Macaca mulatta: one gene and its partner. The protein of the gene in region 2 interacts with the protein of the main gene of each other region in a biochemical or structural test. Links are inferred from orthologs where the notes say so. Each region holds a gene or a part of one and is shown on either strand. Other genes may lie near its edges.

What was found. The genes of interacting proteins can lie anywhere in the genome.
Region 1: the proteins of FERMT2 (region 2) and ILK form a complex in vitro, tested with the Homo sapiens proteins (2 studies listed by BioGRID). The link is inferred for Macaca mulatta from reciprocal best matches to the Homo sapiens genes FERMT2 and ILK.

The regions. Positions count from the first base shown.
Region 1 is NC_133419.1:59,177,271-59,181,301, forward strand, and holds the start of ILK (scaffold protein ILK), read right to left. Parts: upstream 2,801-4,031; 5' UTR 2,755-2,800; coding exon 2,666-2,754; intron 2,175-2,665; exon of another isoform or gene 2,083-2,174; intron 1,521-2,082; exon of another isoform or gene 1,492-1,520; coding exon of another isoform or gene 1,439-1,491; intron 1-1,438. Other genes in the region: RRP8 (ribosomal RNA-processing protein 8), read left to right, coding at 3,554-3,652. UniProt on the Homo sapiens protein: Scaffold protein which mediates protein-protein interactions during a range of cellular events including focal adhesion assembly, cell adhesion and cell migration.
Region 2 is NC_133412.1:126,000,894-126,004,393, reverse strand, and holds part of FERMT2 (fermitin family homolog 2), read left to right. Parts: intron 1-1,452; coding exon 1,453-1,559; intron 1,560-1,691; coding exon 1,692-1,913; intron 1,914-3,500. UniProt on the Homo sapiens protein: Scaffolding protein that enhances integrin activation mediated by TLN1 and/or TLN2, but activates integrins only weakly by itself. Binds to membranes enriched in phosphoinositides.

The DNA.
Region 1 (4,031 bases), on a different chromosome or scaffold from region 2:
TCTAGGCAAGGCCTGGAGTGATCAGGGGTCTGGCCATCCAGATGCCCCTACAGCTGAAGGGGTTGGGGGTGTGGCCTTTTACTTAATCATTTTCCTCCACAACTTGCTGGCATCTGCTAACACAGAAATAGCCAAAAGCTTTCCCTAGAGGTGGGATATCCCCAGGAAGCATTACACCCACTGTTTATCAGCTGGTCTTGCCTCCTAGACCTTTAATTTGTGCCCTGACTTATCAGCTTCCAGTACTGGGCAGGCCAAACTCTGAGGGCAAAAGTATGGGCACAAGGGTTCTGTTCACTATCAAGCTGCCTGCCACCTCAGGGCCTGGACTTTTATCACAAGGAATCCTGCTAGGAATTAACCCCTTCTTCATATCCAGCATACAGCCAACTTAGGCCCCCATACTTTACCCCTCAAACCAGCACCACAACCATCCAGTTTCATTAATGCCACCCCTTTTCCTTCTGGCAACATCTTCCTAGAGTCTTCCTAGATGCTAGGTCAACTGGACAACTGCCTAAGCCTGTATTTCCTCATCAACAAAATAGTAACAGTGCTTTCTGTCTTTATCAGGGTACCCTTTGAGAATTATGTGAAAAATGGAACAAATGACTTTGCAAAGTATTAAAGATAAATAGTGTAGAACCTAATGGGAACCAGTGAAGTCTAGACTAAGATGACAGGTGATCCTGACTTGTCAAACCTAAAAACTAAACTCTACCAATCTTAAAAAATAAAGAATTTGAATCTGCCACCCTGAGTCACCATCATTACTGCTCTTCTTGCCTTCCTATCTCAGCCAACCTTGTAGAACTGGTCTACATTCCCTTTCACTATTTGCTTACCTCTCAACTTTTCTTTTTTTTTTTTTTTTTTGAGACAGTCTTGCTCTGTGGCCCAGGCTGGAGTGCAGTGGCACGATCTTGGCTCACTGCAGCCTCTGCTTCCAGGTTCAAGCGATTCTCCTGGCTTAGCCTCCCAAGTAGCTGGGATTACAGGCGCACACCACCACACCTAGCTAATTTTTGTATTTTTAGTAGAGACAGGGTTTCAATATGTTGGTCAGGCTGGTCTCGAACTCCTGACCTTGTGATCCACCCACCTCGGCCTCCCAAAGTGCTGGGATTACAGGCATGAGCCACCGCAACTGGTCTACTTTTCAATCTGCCACAAATCTGCTGTCTTGAGAGCAGAGATTATGTCAGATTCTGGACTCTAGCACCCAGCACAGAAGGTGTTCATCATAGTTTCTTAAATGAAGGAACCCAGTGTAGTCTGATTTCTTCACCCATTATTCTGAAACAATACTCACAGATCATCAAATACATCCTAACTGCACATTGAGGGGAACAACAGACGCTGGGGCCTACGAGAGTGGGGTGGATAGGAAGAGGCAGAGGATCAGGAAAAACAACTAATAGGTACTATGGCTTAATACCTGGGTGATGAAATGATCTGTACAACAAATCTCCATGACACGAGTTTATCCATATAACAAACCTGCACATGTACCCCTGAACCTAAAAAAAAAATCCCAATTGTAAATTCAATGGCTACTTTAAAATATTAATGTTCTTTGATCTCTCAGTAGCCTGAACTGCTGTTGACCACCTCCCCTTCATTAAAACATTCTCTAAGCTTTACTGACACATTTTCCTATTTCTTTTTCAACTTACAGCTGCTCCTTTTCAGTCGTGCAGGCTTCCTGTCTCCTGACCTCTTGCCTTCCACTCTCCTGAGACATTCTCCTTCACACCCATGGCTTCAAGTATCATCTATATGCTGATAGCTCTCAAATCTGTTATCTCCAAGTCAGATTCCTCTCCTGAATTGCAAATCTGCGTAACCAACAACACACTCAACATTTCTACCTTGCTGCATTGTCACCTTAACTTTAACACGTCCAAAATAGAATGCCTCATCCTCCAGTTTTCTCCATCTCAGTAAAAACAGCCACCATCTATCCAAGTTCCCAAGCCAGAACCCTGGTCCTCATCTTTGCCCTTACTCACTCCCCACCAAGTTCCACAATTCTTTGTCCTAAAGACTTCTGGAATTTGATCACTTCTCTTTTTCACTCACCCTAATTCTAGTCCAAGACATCATTACTTCTACGATGAACTAGGCAACTGCCTCCTTTCCACCTGCTCTTCACAAAGCATCCAAGATGATACTGAAAAATGGACAATCTCATTATGTCACTACATAGCTTTAAAACCTTGCTTTTAAAATAAAGACCTTCTTATAGCCTAAATATGCTTGCATGATCTGGCTGATCCTTGCAGACCTCTACAGTCTTATGTCCTGTTCTTCTCCTCTTGTACCCAATGCTCCGACCCACAGAGATCATCTATCCTCCAGCTATATGGAACTCCAGACAATTTCCTGTTCTCTCTGCTCTGTGCCTTGCCTCCTAGTCTTTGCCCATGCAGTTTACTGAGGCTGGAAAGCTCTCTGCAGCCTCTGCCTGTGAAACTCTCATTCAGCAGTCAAGATTCAGCTCAAACTGCGTCCTCTGTGAAGACCCTCTGCCCCCCACAGGCTGTGCTTAGCACTCATTACACTGGCTAGCAAAGGCAGCCGCCCCCACCAGACATGAGCACTCCACTCCACGTAGCCAAGAGATATCTAGCCTTCCTCTCATCCACCAACCGCTTCAGCTCACCCCTGGTTGAGATCGTTCTCCGTGTTGTCCAGCCACAGGCGAACGGCGACTGCGTTGCCCTCCCGGCACTGAGTGAAAATGTCGTCCATAGCAGCGTCCCGGCGCCGAGTCCCCTGGATTAGGGTAGCCTGAGGACTGTGGGGTGATCCAGGGAAGGAGGATGAATCCCAAGCTTTATCCTCCACAGGAGAGAAGTGTTTGTGTTGGGGGTAAGGGGCCTGAGCTGCGTCCCCGGCTATTGGGGGTCTGTGAAGGAGTTTGTGGCTGCGGGATGATGCCCGGCTGTGTCCTCTAGGCGCGAGGTAAAGGGGGGTCAGGGGAGGCAGGTAGTGTCTACTAAGAGGTAGTGTCTCCTGAACGGATGTCCGAGAGTAGGCAACTAGACCCTATCCGCGAATAGAGTTGGGGGAAGTGGGGAGGTTCAGGATCCGTATACGCTGGGGGAGGGGACTGGGGGTCCTCCCCAGGGTTGGCTCCGTTCCTTACTTGGAACTCAGGAGAAGTGAGGGGTGACAGGTTGGCAGGACCCCTAGTCGTGGGCAGGGGGCGCGGGTCCTCTCGCACTCACCGGGACTCGGGCTGCAGGCTCCTTCTCCGGGGAACTCCCGTCCGGCCGCGCCCGCAGCCCGACGCCGGCCCCGCCCCGCCCCTGGTGCTCTTGGGCAGCGCGGGCCTCCGTCCCTCCCCTCCCACCGCCTCCGTGCCCTTCTAGCCGCGGCTGGCTGAACTCGATGGTTCGCTGCGCTGCGCCGGCCGCTCTAGCAACCCCTGGCTGTCACGCTTTGGTTTCCGGCTCCGTTCTGGCGGGTCTGAGCGCTGCGACTCCCAGAGAAGAGCTCTGCACGTGGAGAAGATCGGGGACTCCGCGACCCTGCCCTCAGGTCCCTCATGTTCGAAGAGCCTGAGTGGGCCTCGGCGGCCCCAGTAGCCGCGGGCCTCGGGCCCGTAATCTCACGACCTCCTCCTGCGGCCGCCTTGCAAAACAAAGTGAGTGACCCTCAGAGGCGATGGGAGCTGTTTCAGGCCGCGAAGCAGACGCTGGTGGATCCCAGCGCTGTGTGTATTGCAGGGAGGGACACCTGTGGCACCGTTGAGGGCGAGTCCTGATCTAAAGATCCGAGAATTTCCAAAAGAAACTGACGTTGGGTCAGAGAGAGTTGTTGAGTAGAAGCTGGGGAAGCGAAGAGGGTTCTTCAGACAGGGAAAAGTACGTACAAGGGCCCTGGGGCAAGACAGCATGTTCTGTTAGAGTCACACACACAAGTGATCCTTGTGGTTGGAATACAGAGTAAATGAGAAGGGATGCTGTTCAAGTTCAAGAGGTAGATTAGAAGTTTTGCATATATTAGAAGCCAATGAAAGGTTT
Region 2 (3,500 bases):
ACTTTCAAACAACTGTTTCAACTTTGCACGTTTAACAGTTTGTCACACACGTTCTCATCATTCTAAAGCCTGTATAAAAGGAGATATAAAAGAAGACATTTGTGTGTAGAAATATTTTAAAAAGAAAACAAAGGGCAGGGGGGAATCTACCAAATTCATGGTACGAGTTGCTAGGGAGGAGAATAAAGAGGGCCTCTCCTTTATTTAAAGTGTTTTTATTTAATACTAAAATATTTATGTAGAGGGGGAAAATGACAATTTTAACATTTGTTCTTCTGGATATGGAGTGTGTATGATCTTCTTATGTTCTGTGCCAAGAGGAATTGAAAAGGCAAGCCCTACTAACAGTTTAAAATTTTCCTCATCGAGCCTATTGCATGATCGTATGACACTGTGCTTTGTTCATGTCATTCTCAGACAATTGGAATAAGCTTTAGGAAGCTTCGACATGTGTATTATCTTATTTATCCTTAAATCATCCCTGTGAGGTAGAGTTCAAGGTCAGGAAATGTAGACTTAGATAAGTTAAATGGCCCATAATTATTAATAAGTGACAAAGAAAAGTCTGGAACCCACGTCTCTCTGCAGAGCTCTACGTTGCTGTATTTATTATACTGTTACTACTTGTTTATGCCAGCTGTTATGCCATCATCTAACACCTAGTTCAGTAAATCTGCACTGCCTTCTGTAAAGCCTCCTACAAAGTGAAATTCTGAATAGAGTTTTTGTTTTTTTGTTTGTTTGTTTGTTTAAGAGACACAGTTTTGCTTTTGTTGCCCAGGCTGGAGTGCAACGGCACGATCTCAGCTCACTGCAACCTCCACCTGCCGGGTTCAAGCGATTCTCCTGCTTCAGCCTCCCAAGTAGCTGGGATTACAGGTGTCCACCGTCATGCCTGGCTAATTTTTTGTTTGTTTTTGTTTTGTTTTGTTTGAGACGGAGTCTCGCTCTGCCGCCCAGGCTGGAGTGCAGTGGCGCATCTCCGCTCACTGCAGGCTCCCCCTCCCAGGTTCACGCCATTCTGCCTCTGCCTCCCGAGTAGCTGGGACTACAGGTGCCCGCTAAGTTTTTTGTAGTTTTAGTAAAGATGGGGTTTCATCGTGTGTTAGCCAGGATGGTCTCCATCTCCTGACCTCAGTCATTTTTTGTACTCAGTGGAGACATGGTTTCACCATTTGGTCAGCTGGTCTCAAACTCCTGACCTCAGGTGATCCACCCACCTCAGCCTCCCAAAGGGCTGGGATTACAGGCATGAGCCACCATGCCCGGCTTATTTTCATTCCAGCTTCCCAAGCAAATGTGTATATTACCTTCTGCAGCAGATGCCTTCATAAAATACTATGGCAAAATCCAACATGTTAAGATGCCACAAAATGAGAGCTGCTTATATTGACTTGAGATTTCTTAAAAGTAAATTTAGCCATTTTGATAATTAAAAATTTTTTGTTACAGGATGTGAAGTTACCCCAGATGTAAACATTTCAGGCCAAAAATTTAACATTAAACTCCTGATTCCAGTTGCAGAGGGCATGAATGAAATCTGGCTTCGTTGTGACAATGTAAGTCTTTCAGTTAAAAATACACTTCAATTTTCTTGGATTTCTAAATGAGTTGACCAGTCATCCTTATATTTTATACTTGAAAGACCTGTCTCGTGATACACTGCACACATCAGTATTTCTTTTCTCCAGGAAAAACAGTATGCACATTGGATGGCAGCCTGCAGATTAGCCTCCAAAGGCAAGACCATGGCGGACAGTTCTTACAACTTAGAAGTTCAAAATATTCTTTCCTTTCTGAAGATGCAGCATTTAAACCCAGATCCTCAGTTAATACCAGAGCAGATCACGACTGATATAAATCCTGAATGTTTGGTGTCTCCCCGCTATCTAAAAAAGTATAAGAACAAGCAGGTACTTGCTTCATTTTACTTCATCTGTTTTCTGCTGGTTTGTTCTTATAATTTTATACATAACCTTGTTTTTCCCCTCTTAAACAAAACTTTTTAGTCTTAATATTATGTCAGGTGGTTAGAATATAAAATACAGATAAGAGTATCCCTAATTGGAACTTCTGAAATCCTACAAAATCTGAAACTTTTTGAGTGCCAACATGACTCTCAAATGCTCATTGGCACATTTTGGATTTCAGATTTGGGATCCTCAACCGGTAAGTGTAATACAAATATTCCAAAATCCAAAAATATCTGAAACCCAAAACACTTCTGGTCCCAAGAATTTTGGATAATGGATACTCAACCTGTAGGAAATAAAGTAACCTTTAGTCAAGTTTAAATTGGTCATTTAAAACAAATCTTTATCATTTTAATAAGGAGGCAGAATAGTTGAGAACTTACTCTAAACAACTTGCAGAAATCATTCTGTTAACATGATGATGTTCTTTCAGACATTTTAGGGAATTGAATATGGTCTCAATGCTTTGCATTCCTTAATTTATTTAATTTTATTCCTTATATAATTAAGTAAATGTGACGTAAAGTGCAGCCAGCATTTCCCAACAAAATTCATAATACCAACTATTGTTGAAATGGGCTTTTCCAACTTTAGAATGAAACTTTACAAGAGTATATTTTTAGCTGTGTCTTTTCTTAACATTATCAGTCAGAACCTAACCAAAATTTTATACATAGTTACACAGTTTGGTAAATTTTCATTGAAATTTGCTTTTGTCCACTCTGTTTAGAATTCTTTTCTTTGGAAATTAATACCATAAAAGGGTTGCTACTTAGGAAAATGGTTCTTTGGTACAACATAAAAGTCCTTTACAGGGGAATTTCACTTGGGATAGGCCCTGGTATTCCCTGCACCCAACATCATGCCATAAAAGGAAAAGGCTTCAATTTGGGGGTGGGGGGGATGAAGACCTTTAAAATAAATATTTTGTTTTTATCTAATTGTGCTTTAATCTTTGTTAAGGAGTAATTTTAAAACATACTGAAAAGGCTCAATGAAATGCCCAGAACACTTATTAATTCCTTAACTTTAAATATAATATTGATTATATGGGTCTGAAATTATTTCTACCTAAATGTTCAGAGGTTTTAATCACAGAGTATTTGTCTTTAAGTCTCAGAGGTTGTGTAAGCCTAGAAATTGTTTATCCCATGGTCATATGATGTGGGAGTAGTAAGGAATGGAGGAAATGCTGCCCTGGGGAACTGTGTGGAATGTAGATTGTAAGTTAAAAAGGGAAAGTAAAGCAAGTGCTAATTTCATTTTTCATATTCGTAGTTATTTCATTTTAAAATTATACAGAATCTTGTTTCTGAAAGTGAATATATTTGCCTTCAAAGGCAATAAGTAATTTCAAACCTGTTTTATGACCAGTTTTATCATTTCACAGTAAGGTATCAGGGAGATAGACGAGCTTAAACGAGAACTGCCACACATTATTTTCTTTTTTTTTTTTTTTTTTTTTTTTTTTTTTTTTTTTTTTTTTTTTGAGACAGAGTCTCGCTCTGTCACCCAGGCTGGAGTGCA